Oryzias latipes: one gene and its partner. The protein of the gene in region 1 binds, or shares a complex with, the protein of each later gene. Links are inferred from orthologs where the notes say so. Each region holds a gene or a part of one and is shown on either strand. Other genes may lie near its edges. The genes, in order: tada2a and yeats2.

Region 1 (11,027 bases):
AGTTCCATCCAACAAATCGCTGCATACTCCTTTTCTGTGTCTAATAGGAATTAATGCAAAAAGATTCTGTTTAATTCAAGCAAAGGTATTATTAATTTGTCCGCACCTGTAACCTCCCCATCTTAAAGACGCCCCCCGCCCATTTGTCATTATTCCATTATTACTGCATCAAACTCTTGTTTCCTGTGTCACAGGTCAAGGTGAAGCATTTTATTAAAAAGGACACACATAGCCAGTCTCTGGATTTATGTTGGAAAAGGGTTGGGTTGGTTGGGTTTTAGATTTTCTATTAGTTTACTTTGTGTGTAAAACTCTGCTGAGTGTCTGTCTCACCTTTTAAGTGGAGTTTCTGACACTAAACTATTCCCTCAGTTCTTTTTAAAATCCAAAAGGTGACTTTTAAGGCAAATAAATAAATAGAAACACTTTTTTCCTTCTGTAAACACTCTCCTCAGTGGCTGAAATCACATCGATTGATACCTGACAGAATGTCTCTATAGAGGGTTGGGCTGCATTGGTTGTCATTATATGTAATCCATTATGAACCTGAAGGTAAACAACTGTGAGGTATCAACAAAGATGTTCTGCTGGAGTGTTTCGTAGCTCTGCATGGGAAAAACTAACATTCCACACCCACTTGCTGACCTCCTTGAACTCCCGCTGTGCTGATTCCTCAAAGGCGCCTTGGCATGGAGAGAAGATGCCGCTGAACTCGCTGGAACGAGGAACACATGTGAAGGGGGAACCTTTCATCAGCAAAAGCGAATGATGACACATATTTTTGTTGACGCTTTTTTTGTTTTTTTGTTGATTTATTCAGATCAAACCAAGTACTCTGGAAAAAAGTCACGTTTGCTTGGATGGTTGAATAGTTTTGTGGCTGCGTTTAAATGTGAAGTGTGCAGTTGTGTGTCAACAGCTTGGAAAACACTTGAAAGTCAAGGCTGGTGGAGGCTTCCAGGCAGAAAAAACTACACTATTTAATGTAACTGAGTCAACACACTTAGCTCTGAGTCTTAAGACGGGATTTTGAGTTACTTCTGTCATGTGGGGATTCCTCCAGATTGAGACACTCTTCTGTCGAGATTTGGTTCTCTGGTTTGTCCGCTTTTCCTACCATCTCTTCTAAGTCAGGAACCAAAAACATGAAAGTAGTTAACAGCAAATCTGGAACGTGAGTGTGTGGCAATATGCAGTGGAGCTGCTGTTAAAATCTGTCATTGAACAAAGGATGCTGTCTGCCACTTGACAGCTGCTCCACTGTGTCTTTGTGTTTTTGACTGCACACACAAACGTGTACATCTGCCCACGTTAGAACGCTGACACTGCTTTCTTTGCTTTATCTTTTTGGTGTTTTGTTCTTTAGATTTGCTCAGTCGTGTTTAGTTTTTGGCATTTGATGTAATCTTATTTAGTCTTTAAGTTCTGTTTTGGGTCTTCCCCCAAGTTACTGTTACACCAGATCTTAGTTTCTAATTATCAAGTTATCCTGTTTCAACTGGGAAGTCCTGTTCAGTATTAAAGACTTTAGTTTTTTTATTTTTCGGGCATCAGGTCTTTTGTATGTTGCACTTTTTCGTGCTACTCTGGAAAAAAGTCTTTCTCACAGAAAAAAAAGAACAAGACATTTCTCTGTTGTTATAATTGAAAAAAATCTGCCAATAGAACTAATTGTTTTGCCCTTTTAGATTAAATAAAGCTTGAAATAGGCTTTAAACATTCATATTAAAGTGTATTGCTCTGGTAATTGGAAAAATGATTTCTTAAACCAGGCGTGTTTTGCTCATAAAAAGTTTAGCATCTTTAGCAAGTATGTATATTTAGACACTTGTCCTCCAAAATACATCCAATTTTAAATACTACAGCAACTATCCAACTATCCTTATTTCTAGACCATTTCACCAAAAAATAAGAATACTATTTAGAGCTGCAAATTTTAAAATAAATATGTTTTAAAATATATATGTAAATAAAACGAAATCAAGAAAGTCAGTTAAATAAGAGCTTTCAAAAATAAAACTTTAGCTTACAAGAAAAGTTTGAAAAAGTGTTTTGTTCAAGAATTCAAGATTAAATGACTCAACCAAAAATTCAAGATGTATTGTCTTAAAACAAGTCATAACAGCGTACTGTACAGTTACTGTTAAGTTAGTTTTGTCTTATGTCAAGTATAAAGGGATAATAAAAGCTAGATAAAAATACTTGATGAGATTTTGTATTTTTTCCAATGTACTTGTTATATGATATTATGTTTATCTTTTATCAGACACGGGTGTCCGATAAAAGAAGAGCCTAAGATTTCAGTTGTCGATACAGACACTGTGAACTTTATTGAACTAGTACTTGTTATATGTCTTGGTTTATTCTCAAAATAAATAATATTTTTTTTAAGTTAATTTTGTTTCTTGAACATCGGAAAAGACATAATAAATGTATATATTAACCCTTTTTTCAGAGTTTTGTTGTCTATGGATGAGAAACTGACTCAAGTTATCAGATTTGATCACAAATCACAAAATGTTTTTACATTTTTTTTAAACGTTTATAAAAAAGCTTCAAGAAAACGCCTTCTCCTGAAAGAAGCTGGTTTGCCACAGTAAGAATAGCGCAGCTTAATAAATGTCATCAGCTCTGCTGCTACAGTGAATATAAATCTTTGATTGAGGCTGTCTGTCCTGCACTTGTCCTCCTCCTTTTGTCTTTTGTCCAGACTTTTTTCAATGGCCTGTGTCCATTCCTTCTCCTTATGTTCCGAATTGACCCATTTGTATTCTAGGATTTTTCATTGGCAGGAGCAGATTAACTGCTTTGTTTGGTGCTTTTTTTTTTTGTCAAGGCCCTGAAGGCGTGTGCCAGATGCCCTCTTTTCTTCACGGGGCCCTTATATTTAAATCACAGCAGCTGGGAGGTGCATTTGCTGGAAGAAAAGACGTGTGCACTAAAGGGGGGGCATTTTTTATTTTAAGAGTCGGGCTTCAGTTATATTTTGGCAAACAGCTGTAGCAGAAAAAGATTTTTGCTGCGTAAAGGCGCCGGAGGAAGGGAGGAGGTGGAACAGGGATGAAGAGTCAGACGGTCCTGTGCCTCCCCCCAAGGCGGTGATGCTGAAGCAGAGGCCATCGCAGGGGAGCACACACGTCTCTCTACAAATCTGACACGCTTTTCTTTGTTACTGTCCGTATGGAAAATGCATTCATTCTGCATTTCCTGCCAAGATGTGAATTCCTACTGTGTGCTAATGCAAATCCTGACCGTGACATTTCAAATGGTCCTTACACATACAATTGTACTTAATTAAATGCAACTGCTGGGCACAGACGTGTCTTTTAGCCAACACACATCTATGAAATGCCAGCATCCCAGCAGAAAAAAATGAACATTTTATGCCTTGTACAGTAAGTTCATTACAGAATAATTTAACGATCAGTAGTAGGAAGGACAATCACATTTGCTGTTTACGATGACATAGGAATGACAATGATCCCTCATTAGCATATTCTTCACCCAAAATGAAGGTTTTCAAAAGGTTTTTAGCTTTAAAACTTTTGGTTCAGACCAATCATGACAACTGTTATGACACATAATTAAGATACCCCTTGAAACAAATCCCTTAAACATATAGCTTTGTGGAGCTTTGTCTGGTTTTATTAGACATTTTTCTCTTTGTTTTGATCATATCTTTGCTTTGTTTTTGGAAAAATAATTTTTTTATTTTGTCTGTATATGTTCAAGCTTTGCCATGAGACATAAAAAAACAATTTGATTACATTTTTTGATGTTTTTTTTGCAGTAAAAAAGGACTAACTTTACCACTCAGGTCAGTTTCAGGTTTGTGGTGAAATTGCTGTTCAATATGATGAGGAATATCAAGGAAAGAAAATAATCTGGGGTTTTACTAAAACAATGGATATTAAAATTGACACATAAAACGGTTATAAAGATAAATTATTATGGTCACCGTAAAAATCTCTCAAAAAGTCCCCAGATTGGTCTCATGCCATTTCAGCCGATTTTAGGCCTCCTTAGAATCTTTAAGGCTGTTAAATAGACCTTTAAAACAAAAAAAGCATGAACTTTACAAAGTTCTAAGAATAACAAACAAATATACTGAGTGCATGTTGGATCAATTAAATTTGAATAGAGAAATGTTTTAAAAAAAACACTTGAACAATAATAAATGACATCCAAAAATCTTCTAATTCCTGATCAATTTATTCCGAATTTAATAATTTAGTGAAACAAACAGTTGATAGAAGGGCTCTTCTGCTGAGATAGTCCTGAAAAGTTGTGGCCTTTATAGCCACGTTTGATCACACACTTGTGGGCATGTGGTGTGAATGCTGCAGCCAGGAACAAAAAAGGAAGCTCACTCTGGCTCAACACACAACAGCAAACCGTTACACAAAAAGGAGAAGTCTCTCCTCATAGGTGAATAAATCATGACCCTCTCAAAGGATGATTACAAGCTAGTATGACGGTGAGCTGGAAATTCCTCCAAAAGAGTAAGAGTGTGCGTGCATCTCCTTAACATACACAGACTATCGTTAAAAACCGTGTCTCTCCCTAGAGGCTCCAGAGATGAGTCGCAGGCTAGGATGCTACCGAACAGACCAATCAGGATGTATTGAACTCACAGAGAAGGCTCAAGCAAGCTGGAACAGAGCAGCCCATTCAGAGTTAACCCATCATGTGGTTTAGGAAGCTGCCCTCATCCTCTGTGGGGATTTGCAGTCTAAATATATTTGCTCTGAATCACCTCAAAGAAAGAAGGAATCAGATTTTCTGGTATCAATGACAGAAATGCAAATATTAGAATAAAAACTGTCATAATTAGTAACTGCAGAGAGGTTAAGAGGTTTCATGAAAATCAAACAGTCCTTTTTCCAGCCACATCTGTACTAAATCAGTCATTTCACTCAAATACTTATTTTTTCTACCTTTAAGTGAGTTTGGCACATGTGGATTTGCAGTTTTATGCATTAGGGTTTCAGATATTTGTTTTCCTAAGGCTCCTCATGGGCCCTCACTGGCATGCTCTTGAGGGTGTTTGAGCTGTTTTTGAATTGGGGGTGCCAAACCTGGACACAGGCACTGGAAAACATTGGTACTCATAAATATTTGCTGGTTTTCATATTAAAGAAAATGTCTTGAAGCCTTTTGCAGGCCAGGCAGCACCTCTGCAAAAAGTTTATGGAGGACAAAAAGCAGCATGGGGGTGTTGTGACACAGAACATTCATCATCTTTATTTCTATTTCTCACATGATGCTTATGCAAGCCTCAGGTAATCATCTGTGCTGGGAGGGAGACAAAGGCTTTCAGGGTGCTCATTGTTGCCTTAAGAGACATAGAGCAAGATCAGCACCTTGTGGCAATATAGGGAAGTACTGTCGTCATGGTGATGAGATGGAGAAACTAAAAACAAGTTAAAATCTCTCCCCATTGCAAAATAAATGTAAAACAAAAATCTTAAGAGAAGGAAAAGAAAGTTAAAGATGAAATACCTTTTTATAAAAATCATTTTGCATTAAAATGCAATATTCCATGTGGCTTTTTTATATATTTCATACATTTTTTTAAACAACATTTGTTTTCTGTTCAAATTTTTGAGTTTCTTCTGCCTTTGTAAGAACCTATGAGGACATGGCACACAACTATTAAAACATAATAGTATATATATCATTTTGTGTGGTGATACACGACCAAAACTATCGATATTCGGAGCTCGATTAGTTATGACGTCATCAGGCACATAGCCGAGTTCTGAAAAACAGATCGACCCAAATTCAATTTTGGTGTTGTTATTGAGAAGCAAATAGCAATTAAATGGACCGAATAGCGTCTTTTTCAGGTACGTATTGGCATTATTATACACACAGTTGAATTTATTGCAGTTTTACCAAGTATCCATCGACTTTTTGGAAGGTTAGCTGTTTTTGTCCATAAAGCAAGGTCTGCTAAGCTATCTTTAGCATTAGCATCGCCGTCAAAAACAATGCTATTTTTGTTTGCCGCAGTGATTTGTTGAAAATATTCGACCTGTTGTTGAGACATTCAACATTATCATCATTTTCAAGCTCGACTAGTAAAGCTAGTCCTTCGCCCAAGATAACATCTGTTTTGTGCATTCAAGTTTGCCCCAAAATCACGACTTTAGGCTATATGTATCTTTTTTAACTGCGTGTTGTTACTATTAAAACTGTTACTGATAATATATATATAATTATTCTGTTCATTTTAGATGACCCCTTTGATAAACCGCCTTGCAGAGGCTGCTCATCCCATCTAACCGAACCATACATCAAGTGCGCAGAATGTGGACCTTCACCTTTTTTGTTGTGTCTTCAGGTAAGCCAGATGAGGATGCTTATAATTTGTTTGTTTTGGCTCTTTAGAATGTGTGTTTGAACACAAACCGAATAACTCAGCTGTAACTTTACGCAGACAGACCACAGTTTAAACACTTTGGACAAAACCTTACGATTTTTTTTTTTAGCCCAGTATTTCCTTGTTGTTGTTGCAAAACTTCTTGGCAATAAATGTTAGACTTCTGCAAAATTAGTTTGCTTTATATTTTAAATGAGTCCATATTTGTGAGGAACGCGCATTTGTGCAATGAGCAGCAGAAGGTATGCAAGGTTTTCCAAATAGCCAAACTGCTTTTATTTCTGTAGCCATTGATTGACCCTTATTTTTGGAACTTCTGGAGGTTTCCACATCAGTGCCCGCCCAGCACTGATCGCCTTCCACAGATTTCTAACTACTATACCTGATTTGAGAAAAAAAATTCAAATGAAAGAACATGATGCCATCCCACGGCAGTGTATAATAAAGAGGTGTCAGGGTGTTCCGTCCAGTTCTTTCATGTTCCACTGATTATCCTGTTTCTTAACAATTGTTTTATTTATTTTTTACATTGCCAATACCATATATCTTCCAATAGTGGCTGGTCTTCAATTAATGTCAGGGCTATTATTGGAGGATATACGGTAAGTCTTACATCCATTATTAAATAATATATTTATTGCCTTAGAAACATTATTACATTTGAGAAAAAATCATGTAGCACAAATTAAAATACTTTTGCACTCTGAATTTTGAATTTGTTCAAATAGCATTAGATCGTATTGCTAAACCAAATAATGTTTTGTATGTATGTTCTTTATTATGAGTGTTAAGTGTTACATTTTCTAGGGTTTTCTATTGTTACAAATATTCTATGATAGATACAATTTTATTAAAAATTAAAATAATTGACATATTTAATTTTGTATCTATAAAATATATCAACTATATATTAATAAGTACAGTTTTTAAATATAGTATTACATTCTGTAGTAAAAGGGTATTAAAAGTACATTACAATGTTGTTGATCACATTTCTAAATGTGTTTCTTAAAAAGTGACGCTTTATTATAGTTTTATAGCACACTGATATTATGAAATCTTTTAAAATTATTTAAAAGGATGAAGTCAAATTGTGTCTAACCTGGTTTAATACTGTGCTTTCTCACACACCTGTGTTGAATACAAATTCTTTTGTTAGTTACTTCCAAAAATGCACTTGTTTTTTCTTTCTAGATTAGAACTTTGTTATTTTGCAAAATGATTTCCTTCACTGTTAAATTAATGGGGAAATAAATGACCAGATCTTTACGATTGGGTTTATTTGAAAAATAAGCCACATTATAACTGCTGCTTCTTTCATGGTCGTCATATCGATACAATTTATGAATTCACTTAATTTGCATGTAAGTTTTACTTTTCTCAGTTAAGAAAACCTCCTCAGTGCATTCAAAGAACTTTTATTTAATGAACAAATCGTGTCTTTTACCTGACCAGCTTTACCCTGAACTTATTTCGTTCCAGTGTTTTACCAGAGGATTTGAATACAAGAAGCATCAGAGTGATCACAGATATGAAATCATGGTGAGTGGAGCTGCAGTTGAGTTTCTCGGGTGTAGCTAAACATCATGTTTAGCGGGCATCTTTTGTGTTACCTCGACTCAGACTTCAGACTTCCCGGTGCTGGAGCCTGGATGGACGGCGCAGGAGGAGATGGCTCTGCTGGAGGCAGTCATGGATTGCGGGTTTGGGAACTGGTAAGAGGTCGAAGACATTTTACCAGTGTTTTCTTTTTGAATACACTTATTTTTACTAACTTCAAAAAGCAAGTTTTTAATGTTTTATCATTTAGCTATTTATCATTGGTGTCATGTTAGTTTCATTGTCTTTTGGTTTCAAAATGTGACAATTTTTACAAGTCATTTCTGCTGTTTAATGGAAATCTCACATTAATTATTTAAAAAAGAAGATTGGTGAAAATATTATTTAACAGTGGTTATATTGTTTTTTAATTTAAGTGTAATTTAGTTACTGCCTCGAAGTTTGGGGAAAAGCATATTCTGTCCATATATATAAAGCCTTTGTTTCATTTACAGAAAAAAGCAATTAGTATAATCAACAAAAAGGCAGCAGAGAATTCACTAATAATTTAATTGATTTTTTAAAAACTTTATTATTCATGTTAAAAGCCAAATTGAAAATTCTCCCAAACATCATTCAATCCGTTTTTTCTTTTGTTTCATAAGACGATAGCGACAGGAGGAAATATAATTTGCCACTTGCACGCACAACTAATAGACACACATATCACTATATGCAGTCAATCTATGCAACTCACTGGACAGTACATTGAAAGAAACTACAAGCATAGTTGCATAGATTGGAAAAAAAAAGCTTAAAAATGGGATATTTAAAAAATACAAGCAGAGAACTGAAGTAAGACATCCACAAACGTAAGCTTGAGACCGAGCTGGGTTAAGGAGGGGATAGAAATGTAGAAATGTAAAGTTTTGTTGTTTGTGTTGTTATTAACGTCGCAATGTGCTTCTTTAAAAGGAACAGATTAACGTCATTTCTGGATATAGAGCGCACCTGATTATAAGCCGCACCCATTCCATTTTTAAAGGATAAAACATTTTGTACATACATAAGCCGCACCTGTCCATAAGCTGCATGTGCCCACATTGAAACATGTGTTGTAGAATGAGGATGTGTATGTGCTGAAACCACGAGCCCTGTGTGTAAGAAAGAGGGGAGAGCGTGCAGCGCTAGAGGGAGGCTGTCACTTACTCTTGCACTGCTAGTGCTCCTTCCTCTTACACACACAGTGCACTGACACACACATACTCATTCTACAACACCAATATAGTTAGTTCATTGATAGTAGTTAGTTGTTACGGTTATTTGTTAATAAAGATTAGTGCGTTGTAATTATTACTTGTACGTAGGCCTGCACAATATACCGCAAATTTATCGTTATCGCAATATCAAGCTGTGCAATATGCATATCGCAAAAGACAGCAAATTTGCAATAAATGGTTACCTTAGATGTGGCCAAACAATCTTATGGCAGCTTGAAGTGTTTAATGGATTGAAAGAATCCCTTTCTGCATTTGACCAATGAGATGGACCTCTTCACGTTGTTAACTAATCGGATGGCGCCCTATTATGTTGTATGTTCGCCTCCTATGTCAACAAGGGTCATTTGTAGTATAATTTTTAAGCTGTTGTAATGGAATGGGAATAATATTTTTGGTTGTTTTGCTAATTGTTTATATACTGCAAATTATATCGTTATCGCAATATTAATTACTAATATCGCATATCGCGAGTTTTCTTCATATCGTGCAGTCGTACTTGTACCGGTATTCATTTGCGACGCAGCCGCCGGAGGATTTTGTGTTCATCACAGCGGTCATCAAAAATCCCACACCGTCACAGCTCTATTCCAAACAGTGCCTGTGACATGGCAGCAATATGGTAGTAACAGCACTAACAGGGCTTGTTAAAAAAAAACATACCGGTAAAAGTCACTGAAAGAAGAAAAAAAAAAGTCACTGAAAGCAGCAGTAACTTATAAGCACGCCTCTGCGTGACACGCGCCTCCTGTGCACTGAAACCATGGAGGTTTTCCTCCTCAGTGTCAGATTGGAACAGCGTCAGATATTCTTCCCCACACTCTCTCTGTCTCTCTTTCGTTGTCGCTGTCATTGTCACTCTGAGGCAAATTCACTCCTGAGCCGGGTTTTCCAAACCCGTTGGTGATGGTGGATTTTTTCACACTGCTTTTAACGATTGGTTTTAACTTAAAGCTGCTTAAGCATTTCTTCTTGCATTTTCTATAATGAGGGTCTTTTTGTGCTATTCATTCCCAAAGCGGGAATTCACATTAAACTTGCGTCTTCCTCGACACATATACCGTATTCCCCCTGCTCGAGCGCCCCTAGCGGGCGTTAGAAAATATGCATAAAAAAAAGATAAAAATGCAGAAATTAGTCGCATCATTGAAGAAGCCGCAGGTTTGAAAGCGTGTGACAAAAGTAGCGGCTTATCATCTGGAAATTACGGTATATAAGAATTTTCTTCATGCTGTTCCAAATGTTCAAGCCTAAAGAAGGGCTAATTCATTTTTTTTGGAACCTCTACATCTGAGTACGGTAATTAAATGGAATGAAGGTAATAAGAATACCAGAATACTAGGCAGTTGCAGGTTTAATTAAAACTTCAAATTTGTATCTTTTAATCCGTAAAAACATCATCTTTCACACATGCCATGTTGAGAAAAGTCCTCTAATTGTCTGCGTTCATTCTTCTCAGGCAGGACGTGGCATATCAGATGCGCACAAAAACCAAAGAGGAGTGCGAGAGCCACTACATGAAGAATTTCATCAACAACCCCCTGTTTTCCTCCACCTTACTCAGCCTGAAGAAAACGAAAGATTCTCGTTTTGCAGAAGGAGCAATCCCCTTCAAACGTATGTTCCTGCATAGTGACTCTCCTTTCATTTGATTCTACAGAGAAGGAATGAGATGAAGGCATCGTGCATGAAGAAAGCACCTCAGTACATTCACATTTACTCATTTAAACGACACGCTAAAAAGCTGTTTCCTATAATGAGGGCAATGTGGGGTAAAGGGCCCAAAGACACACAATAACTGTCTGGGATTTGAACCCTTGACAGCT
Region 2 (10,375 bases), on another chromosome or scaffold:
CAAACCTGGCCAAATGATCGGCATGACTTCCTCGTCTGCTGGGCCCACAGGTACAAATCTTTTTGTCAGTGCTGCCGATGCTCCACAGAGTTTAAAAGCAAACCTCTAAGATGCCCTTGAAAACGTTTAATGGCTACAGAGAATGGAAAGTACAGCAAATGATCAAATCTGGAAGATTTTTTTTCTGCACATCTCTGCACCCAAAGCCTCTTGTCTGTTCTTCTCTTTAATATTTTAAAAAATATTTGATAGTATTTTTGTCTGTGGGTTTCGTTTTCTAATGAGTGACGTGAGGTGAAACAGCAGAATAGCTGCTGGCTCTGAGATTACCATGGCAACAGCGCTGTGGTAGTTCATGATCAGGGCAGGAGAACATCTTAAAAATCCTTTTGCTCTTTTGAGAAAAGATGAATTAGAAGTACTTTTTTGCTCCATGGAGTGCAGGCTGCTTCATGATCACAGATCTATTTTACACATCAGAAACTTGGGTAACCATTGCACCATTGGAGCTCTTTCTCTTATGTTGTGCTATTATATCCACTTAGACACTCCTACGCTTCCTCCACGAGTTCAAACATCAGTCAGATCTAGTTTTGGGATTGGAGCGGTAGTAATGATTTCCCTCAGGATTATGTTGATATGAGTGTCATGGGGGGGTGGGGTCGATTCTCCGAACCTGCAGCTCTACTTCTACATGGAGTGCAGTTAAATGTCCGCTTTAGCATTATCAATAAAGTTATTGCTCATTTTTGTCCATATTCTGTTACATAGGAAGCCCTACAAGCAAACAGGGTCAAGGCACACGCTCCCCAGCACCTAAAGTTCACACCGGCACCTTGCTGTCCTCAGGAGTGAAGGTGAGTTAGCCACGTTTTAGACGAAAGCACATTTTTTTGAGGGATTTATCCATCCTCCAGCCTGTCCCTGTAGCATTTGCCTCTCCAGCAAAGCAGTGTGTATTAATAGTAGGCTGGGGAACTGCCTTCTGCAGATGTGAGCCCTTCAGCAGCTATTTAAATAGGGCATCTTTGTGAAGATGGGGGTGGGGGTGTGGGAAGCTCTGTAGAGAGAATTACTCGGTTCAGCTTCACACCAAATGTCTTGACAGCCTGCAGTAAAGTGATTGCGCTGCCACTTGTTGCCATCCTTTTGATTATTCTGTGATTTTACTTTGAAATTCTCTTCTAATACAGTTTTAGTCCTGTCACCGTTTAGTCCAACATTCTTCGACATGTTCACAAAAGCGACTGTTATTTTTTGCAAGAACAGTCATCTTTTAAAACATTTCTTGTGTTTCTTGTTCAGGTTATTATCAAACAGGAGCCAGGGGAAGTTTCAACAGCGCAGCAGCAGCAGATGGTTTCCACGGTAACCAGCCAGCAGCAACCTTCTGCTGCAGCAGCTCACCAGTTGGTTGCAATGAAAGGAGGTCACATGATCTCCATGACGGCTCAGAAACAGGCCGGAGGAGCCACAGGGTCCACAACAAGCAAGGTCAGACATTCCTGCATAGATCCAGACAGTAACCAGGAGGATCTACCTGAATTGCGTCCAAAAAGCCAAGTTTAGCTTCCAGATCCCAAAAGAAAACAGTCTGATGAGATTTGACGGAACAAGGAAAAATAAGATCTATAATGTTTTAAAAACTTGTTTCAGGCTTTAAACTTTTGAAAGATCAAGTACTGCAGTCTTTTTTTTCTTGCTCTCACTCATCATTATTTTTCATTCCCAAACACAGTAACTCCTAAACATTTCTTTTCATTTGTTTCTCTCTCCCCTTCTTCTCTTTGTAGATGTTGGGGATTCCTGTTGGCTCCACACTTCAATCTTCGGTTAAGCAAGTTGCCATCAGCAGTGGGCAAATTCTGGTTGCCAAGGGCAACCCCGGTTCCAAAGTGATGGGAGGCAAGCAGGTTTTGGCTCAGGGAGTTGCTAAAGCCATCGTCAGTGGAGGCAGCGCCTTGTCAGGCCAGCAGGGCGGCGCCAAGACAGCTGGTGGTTCAGGGGGCAAAAGTGGAGGTTTGAACTCACAGACATGACTGACATTTAGATTCACTATGATAAACCTTTACATCTTAGCTTATAGGAAATTAGCTCTTTTTATCTCAAACATTTAGATTCTGTAATATTGTAAACCTTGAATTGTAAATAAACACCTTTCTGAAAAATCAGACACTTTTGGTTTTACACCCTTCTTCCTTTTACCTTGATCTGTACACCGTCTTTTGTATTTTTTACAGTAATGGCTACTCTGCAGCTTCCAGCCAACAACTTGGCGAATTTGGCCAATTTGCCTCCTGGCACCAAACTTTATCTGACGACCAACAGTAAGAACCCATCAGGGAAAGGAAAGCTGCTGCTGATACCACAGGGAGCCATTCTCCGAGCATCTAGTGCAAGTAAGACATCCTCAAACTTATGTTTATGCCTTTAAGTACAAAGAAACCTCCACATTATTTAGATCTGTTTCAGTTATACTACACACTTATTATCCTATTAGTTTTAAATAGCTGCTTTGTTTGTACTTTTGTCCAACAATTCACTTTATCAATCTTAGTTTTATGCTTTTATGAATTGAGAACCACAAAGCTGATTGATTACTAAATATTAAAGTGTAATAGGATTGTTTACCTGATTTAAAAATGTCCTGTCGTCTGCGTGGAATTAAGGTCAGCAGTCCCAGAGCAGCTCCTCTGGAGGCGCAGGAGGTTCCCAGAGCTCCTCTTCCAGCAATCTTACTTCAAACCTGTCCTACACATCCTACATCCTTAAACAGACCCCACAGGTAGTTACACTCTTGTTTTTTTATATAAATAACTACCGTAATTTCCGGACTACAAGCCGCTACTTTTTTCCTGCGCTTACAGCCCTGCGGCTTATTCAGTGACGCGGCTAATTTATGGATTTAATTAGCGGCCGCCATGTACGTACTTTCGAACTCAGTGAATAGTTTGAATTCTTTATCTAACACCAAGCACAAGGCATTTATATTCAACACACCTTTAAGCAGCCAAACAGCATGGACTTGACTTCAGGTCTTAGACACTTCAGTCATGGTTCAACAAAACGAAACACGCATGCCCGGCCGCATCCCAGAACCCTTTGGTGCCATTAGACCCAACGTGCACGTGATCGCCGCTACAATATGATGAAGCTTTCAAGTTAAAAGCAATCGTTAAAAGCAGCATAAAAAAGTCCACCGTCACCAACGGGTTTGGAAAAGCCGGTTTCCTGCGTGACGGAGAGAACAGCGCATGGAGTGAATTTACACTCCATTTACGGTTTCTAAGGAAACCGTAAAAGCGGAATTTTGCTTTGAAAAATTCACAGCCTCCGTGTGAGCTGGAGACATCTCCTGCTGATTGAGCTGCGGGGCCGATGGCAGTCCCACGTAACAACGCACCCGCCCCTCATACACAAAACGTACAGTATTAAGTCCGATTGCTTTGCACTGAAACGATTTGCTCCATCCACCGGCGCAACGGGGACGAAGTGCTCCTCCTTGAAGCCGCCCTGGCCAGAGGTGTCAGAGTAGATAGGAAGGGGAGACAAGGAGCGCGCGGGGCGGGAGCGGAGCGCAGAGGCTTCTGAATTCTGACGCACGCGCCGCACTGAGGCGCGCGTATCACGCTGAGGCGCGCGCTTTTCAGTCAGTCGCCGCTGCTGTATTTTACCGGTGTGTTTTTTAACCAGCCCTGTTACTCCCATAACGCTGCCGCGACACAAGCGGAAGGAGAGCTTTTCCCGTTCACCCCTCCATGCACTGCTGATACTTGCTCATTCTTAAACACGTACAACAGAATGGCGAGCCGGGCATTGGCCCCGCCTTTAGCCCCTAAGACTCATGGGAAATGTGGAATCGCAGATGTAAATTTCCTCATCATAACTGAGGGATGTAATGTTGATTATATGGTTACTGTTTGTAATTTTATGTATGATACCTAGATTGTCAATAAGTAAAAAAAAAAATGAAATAAAAACACCATAACTGAGGAACTTGTGAACAGAATAGAGGTCCATGCTGTTTGACAGATGTCGATACTCAAATACATGAGCCTGAGGCAAAGCTGGCACCACCCACAATGTGCTAATGAATTGCACTCACTCTGGGATGCTGGCCGTGATCTGTCAGGATGACAATATCGCCTAACACATGCTCGGCTTGTACTCTGACGCGGCTTGTGTATGTGTAAAACTAATTAAACACGTGAAAGTGGGTGGGTGCGGCTTGTAATCGGGTGCGCTTTGTAGTCCGGAATTTACGGTAGTTGGAATTACATAGCATTGTCATTGTTCTACATTTCTGTTGGAGATTGTTTGGAATTCACAGCAGCAAGGTTTCTTTATTGACTGTCAGTCGTGTGTTTCTGCATGCATTCTCATGAACCCTCTTCATAATACTGCCTGTTCTTCTCTGTAAAGAAATGGCTCCCTGTCCCGGCTTTTTATCTGCTGCTTGTTCTAAAAATTCTTCTATGGGCTCCACTTTCAACAACACAAAAGATGGAAGAATAGGAAAATAAAAATGTCCTTTGAAATCTCATTTTTCTTGAGTATGGCTTTGTTAGCTGTTTACAGAGTTGCTTAAGATCAAATTCTAGTGCGACAGCAGATTTTCAGCTTAATGTTCACTTCTAGATCAGCTTGTTTGGACAGTGGAAAGCATTGAGGTTCTTTTTTAACATCCATATGCCTTCAGAGAGAGCACTTGTTTATTTTTCCCTTTTGTAACTTCTGCTGTTACTGTCCTTCCCACGCCCACGTCCAAACCTAACTTTGTGCTTCGAAGGGCACATTTCTGGTTGGGCAGCCAGCGCAGGGGGCTGCGAAACAGGGGGGTGCCAGCTCAGCAGCTCATTCAGCAGCTTCTCCAGCTGCAGCTGCTACCCAGCAGGCCATTCGGGTCACAGCTGGACAGAAAGCAGCCATCTTGGCTCAGGTGAGTGAACATCCCTGATATCAGGCCTTTACTGCTACCTTTAGTATTTTTTTTAAGCTAAACTGTTGTTCATGAAGATTTTCATAAGCAGCCTGAAGCGAGTCTTTATAAAATGTTTAAAAAAACAGAAAAGGTTTTCCAAAAGAGCTAAACTAAGGAATTGTTTTTTTCAACTCTGAATTCCTTTAATCATGATGTTTTAATCCTGTAGTGCAAATAAATCCTGTTTTAAATAAATTTCTAAATAGTTATAAATGTGTATCCTTTGACACCTCCCCGTTGTGTTTTTTTTACTGGCAGGTGGTGGGCTCCACCCAGGGCGCCCAGCTTAAGCTGTCTGACGGCTCCGTCAAGACCGTGACATCAGCAGGAGCCGGTCACATGTCCAAGTTGGGTACCACCACTCTGAGGATGACGGGCGGAGTCATCACTACTTCAAGCTCCACCCCTGCCAGCACTGCAGCAGCCAATCAGCAACAGGTTGGCTTCATTACAATTTAATAATAGCAATGTAAAGCAAACTTGTTAATCTCAAAAGTTTCTTTAGTTTTATTTACATTTTGTATTTTTTTGTAAAAATGTAAGAAAAGTCAGCATCTTCTAAACAATTAGATTTTATGTTTTGAGCATAAGCAGCTTCTTGGATATTGAATGACATTATTGACCGTCTCTGAAAGCAGAGATGAGTTTGTTGTCTTGTTTAGGAGGGATTGAAAGATTTACAGCATATTTGGCGCCTGTAGGTAGTAGTTATCAGTGCTGCATGTGGGGGCAGAGGGCTCTTCTGTTGTTGTTAAATCCATGGGTGTCATAGTGACCTGAGCATCAGATCTCACTCAAAGGGCTGCACAACAATAAAAACTGAGAGTGAGGAGAAGTTGTTCTGTGCCATGTTTGCTAAATCTTCTTTTTAGTTTTACAGCCCAAACCCACCTGCGGAAAATTCAACTTTTTCCTTTCTTTTGTTGTTGTAGTGGTCTGCAGTTCTACAAAGAATTTGAACGGCAATTCCTTCATATTTAAATTTAGTTTTAAAGGATTTTTCTCTTAAAAAACTTTGAAGAATTCAGTCTTTGTGCCTCAGTAAAACACAGATTTATGTGTAAACACAGATATGTTTAGATAAGGAAACCCTAACACCTCCCTAAAAGGCAAAAAGCCACTGTGTTTTTAAAAACACAGATGAGGTTCTGAATTTGGGGTATTTTGGTTAGAACCACTTTAAATGAGTTCTTGTGTTTTTGTTCATTTCCTGGTTGTGTTTCTCTTGTGTGTTCATAGACGGCTGATAGTGGGAAGTCGGCCTCTCAGCAGCAGTCTCTTCTGGTGGCGGCCAACCAGGCGGCGGTAATCAGTGCAGCCAAGAACTCCAGTGCTGCTGGAGGCGGGAATACGTCCAAAGCTGCTGCATTGAACTCCTCTGGGAAAGGGGCTGGTATCGCTGCGGCAGGAACCAAAACCGCTGTTGGCGCGGCAGTTTCTGCTGCAAAGGGGGTCACAAGCATGCCTGTTGTTGGGATGTCAAAAGGAGGCGGGGTCGGGGCCGTAGTGAGTGTACCCAAAAGCAGCAGCGCCTCCTTGGTTTCTGCAGCATCATTAGTAAGCGGCGTGGCGTCTGGAGGAGGAAGGACTGGTGCAACTCTATCAGGTAGATAGACATGATTTAATGCAACAGTTACTAACTTTTATTGAGCATTAACAGATAGAATTGGGTTTAATTGCCAAAATACTGAATTGGTTTGATTCAAGTATTCATTTAAAACCGATGTTCAGTTATAAATAACACTTTTTTAAATGTTCAAAAAACTGAACAAAAGTGGTTAAAATGTAAAAGTCAAGTAACTAGAAGCTTAAAAATAAACACAAAATGAAGTAAGGACTGGTTCAAAAATTATTTTTAGTTGTTTTTTTCTCTTTGTAACCCGCAAAGAAAATCTAGATAAAACAAAAAAATAAATCTTTGGATGCCAGAATACTAAAGACTAGGAATAATTGTAGATTTAAAACAGCTTCATACTTTTTAGGTTGTTCTTTAACTAGATTGATTTGAAAGTTTTCTTCCTCTCCCCCATCATGTTCCTGATTGGCTGGTGTTTAAGCATCAAATGCTCCATGGTATTTCGCACACCTCATTCAATAAAGTTCCTTGTCTGCTTATCGTTTTAATCTCCATTTGTTTGTCTGGATATTAGAGCTACAGAACATGGAAGGAGAGCTGACACACACATTTTCCTCGTATGTTTTTCAGGGATGCTGAAGATCCACTCTGGAGCTTCCGGCTCCCAGCAGACGGTCTTAACTATTCCTGCCAACCAGCTCAAGCAGCTGAGCGTCGGCAGCGTTTCTGGTGGACTGCAGACTATTTTCATGCCTGTTGGGAAAGGTAAAACTTTCACATCGACTTTCTTTAAAAAAAAAAAAAAAACCTTTTCAGTTGCATGATTTTCAGAGAGAAATCCTCTTTTTAGTTACAAATGATTTCCGTCTTCAAATAAGACAAAGTTAAAGTGGTTATAGAGATGAAGAAAGACATCGTTTATGTAGGAACAAAAACCCTTTAAATGATTTCCACTCATCTTTCATCTACATACATGTAAAGCCTGTTTCCCTAAAGGGCAAATGCTCCATCCGTGTGTATTTCCTGTGTGTATAGTGGTGGCTAAAGGCCCAGTCTCCAGTACTGCTTCCTCCTCATCATCAGCAACCCCTGGAACAGCTGGGACTGGAGCCTCCCCAAGTCCTGCTAGCCAACAACCCCCCTCCCTTGCCCTGCCTCTGGCACAAGGTGAGAGGGGATCATCCTCACTTCATCTTCATACTTTAATGTATTTGGTTAGGCTGTGTCGGGCTTAGGAAGGATGCAATCACTTTAATATTTTTTTTATATCAAAAATCAAGTATTGTAACGAACCCATCATGTAACACCCATTCCCTGTCATTTCACATTTCCCTTTCCTCTTTGTGTTTATTTGGTTTGGATCTTCTGCTGGAAATGAACGCTTCTGCTCTCTGCTGTAACAGTGAAAACAGAGCCGGGGGCTTGTCCATCTGTGTCAGCCTGCCCTTCGCCCCCAGTGGCTGGCGCTGCCCCCACCTCTGTCCACGTTACCTCAGCCACCACCACGGTCAAGCAGGAGCAAGGAGCGGAGAGCGCCGCCCACGACCTCATCAAGTAATGCAAAGAAGGGTCGTAGTTTTAGCATCACGTTTACCGCAGACTCTGATAGAGTACCGAAAATATTAGTTGCTCTCCTCCTTTTAAATTTTCCATTTAATCTAAGACTAAAAATATTTTAAACGTTTTTTTATTGCCTTTTCTTATTCCTTTTAATTCATATATTTTTAAATAGTATGAATCGCTAACAGTGTTAGCTGCAAAGCTAATTTTCAACTGTAGTCGCTGGGAAAGTCGTAGGTTTACCAACAACAAACACCAAAAACACACAAAATCTACAATAAAAGTGACAAATAATACAAGAGTTTGAAAGTTGAAGTAGTCTCTACACATGTCAAATTAATAAAAACTCACTCAAAACCATGAGTTAAAAGAGAAGTATCACGGTGAATGACAACAAGCAACGTTTGAAAAGGACTTTGGATTACGTTGAACAGCTTATCAAGTCTAATTCTGCCTTTTTTGTAAAATAAAATGTATACAAACTGTAATTTTACAAAATTACTAGAAGAAAAACACAAACACCGAAAATAATCAATTATGGTCAAATGATAAATAAAAAAATGGATAAATACAGAAAAGAAAAATAACATTTAGACAATAAAAAAAACCTAAAGTTTAGACAGGTTTTTTTTTTAAGTAGAACTGATTTGTATGGTTTGTGAATATTAAGAAAACAAAACACAACAGTTAAACTACACTTGGCTCACTTTCGTTGCAGCACTGAGCACATAGAGACCATGATGCAGCTGCTGACTGCTGTTGTGAAGAAGTTCCCTTTAATTGTGCCAGAAAAAAGTAAGTTTGCTTTCTTTCCAGGTGATCCAACAAAGAACACAGATTTTTTTTCTCTCCAGCTGTCTGAATATTCTTTTTCTGTGTTTAGCTGAAGACTCCCACCAGTTTTGTGCCTCCTCGATGGAACAGTATTATTCCTGGAACATTGGCAAGCGGCGAGCATCAGAGGTAACTTTATGCTTCTTATCAATTGTTTTTCTAAAAACTAAAAATCTTTCCATGTCTGCACCTGTCAGGAAAACTGAAGTGAGTCAGAAAAAGCAGAAACGTGTCATTAGACAGAGCTGCATTTCTAACTTTATGAAAATTTGTCATTTTTACATTATTGCACCAAATCACCCATAGATGCAGTTAGAAAGGATACTAGTCTGGTCTGAACCTTCCATTCAACAAATCACATCTGCCAGAAAATATCTGAAAATATTCTGCTCCCCTCTGATCCTTCTGATCCTAAAATGATGAAGTTGAATGGATACAGTGATCCCTCGCTTTGTTGCGCTTCACCTTTCACTTCATCTTTCTTTTTTTCTTTTTTTCAAAGCGCACTGTGCTCTGTGTCCTAATTGGCTGTTGGCCTTGTCAGTCAATCAATATCTTTGGTGACATGTCTGCTGTACAGAGTTATCTAAATCTTTGTGATGAGATCTCTGTTTCTATTCTATAATCCTGAAAATAAATTGTGAATTTTAAAAGTTTAAACAAGAGAGAATAGTGTGAAAATGTTCATGTCAGACTTGAGAAAAGGTGTTTAAAGTGTGCAGTGAGTTGTTTACGGTCTTAAAACATCTGGACATCCTACTTTGCGACTTACATCCATCCCAGGTTATTTATGGAACATATCCCCCACGATAAACAACAGAACACTGTGTTTCAAAGTCAGTTTTGTTCTTTTGTGTGGTTTGGTTTACACCAACCTGAGAGGGATTTTAGGAGCTTTTTATGAACACTCATCCAGTTTCCAGGTTAAGAACATCAATATCATTCTGATAATCCCTAAAAAAATCCCATCTGTAGTTTGTTGTCTGTGTCATCTGTCTCTGAGTTGCAGAGCTTTCTCCTTGCCGGGTGTTTCTCTGTCAGGTCAGACGTGTCTCTCCGGCTGGACGTCTGTCTGTAATGGGTTCAGCAATGGTGATCTTTAGGGTGATCATTTTGTGGTTTTGTTTCCCAAAGTTTCTCTTTGTGTCTCTGAAGCTCCAGCGAGCTGTGGCCGTGAAGCGAGTCGTCCAGGACGTTCTGGACCGCTCCCCACGCCTGCAGGCCCTTACCCCCCCAAAGACCAGAGAGGTGGTGCAGTGGTGCCGGCAAAGAGGCTACACCCCGCCCGACCCCGAACCCCAGCACAGACATGACGACGAATCCATCGAGGACATTCTCACTCAAATCGATAATGAACCCGGTGAGCTTTTGCCACTTTGTGGAGGAAATCTACACGAGGATCCCTCTGCTCTCAGAAGCTCACT

The links.
Region 2: tada2a (region 1) and yeats2 share a complex: the UniProt entries of both Homo sapiens proteins name them as parts of the ADA2A-containing complex. The link is inferred for Oryzias latipes from reciprocal best matches to the Homo sapiens genes TADA2A and YEATS2.

What each region holds. Positions count from the first base shown.
Region 1 is NC_019871.2:10,128,734-10,139,760, forward strand, and holds the start of tada2a (transcriptional adapter 2-alpha), read left to right. Parts: upstream 1-5,723; 5' UTR 5,724-5,824; coding exon 5,825-5,849; intron 5,850-6,239; coding exon 6,240-6,346; intron 6,347-7,867; coding exon 7,868-7,927; intron 7,928-8,008; coding exon 8,009-8,100; intron 8,101-10,660; coding exon 10,661-10,818; intron 10,819-11,027. UniProt on the Homo sapiens protein: Component of the ATAC complex, a complex with histone acetyltransferase activity on histones H3 and H4. Required for the function of some acidic activation domains, which activate transcription from a distant site. Binds double-stranded DNA.
Region 2 is NC_019875.2:23,331,496-23,341,870, reverse strand, and holds part of yeats2 (YEATS domain-containing protein 2), read left to right. Parts: coding exon 1-50; intron 51-771; coding exon 772-857; intron 858-1,305; coding exon 1,306-1,494; intron 1,495-1,793; coding exon 1,794-2,019; intron 2,020-2,240; coding exon 2,241-2,399; intron 2,400-2,669; coding exon 2,670-2,785; intron 2,786-4,789; coding exon 4,790-4,939; intron 4,940-5,239; coding exon 5,240-5,419; intron 5,420-6,220; coding exon 6,221-6,587; intron 6,588-7,187; coding exon 7,188-7,322; intron 7,323-7,592; coding exon 7,593-7,724; intron 7,725-7,960; coding exon 7,961-8,111; intron 8,112-8,835; coding exon 8,836-8,912; intron 8,913-9,000; coding exon 9,001-9,080; intron 9,081-10,106; coding exon 10,107-10,311; intron 10,312-10,375. UniProt on the Homo sapiens protein: Chromatin reader component of the ATAC complex, a complex with histone acetyltransferase activity on histones H3 and H4. YEATS2 specifically recognizes and binds histone H3 crotonylated at 'Lys-27' (H3K27cr).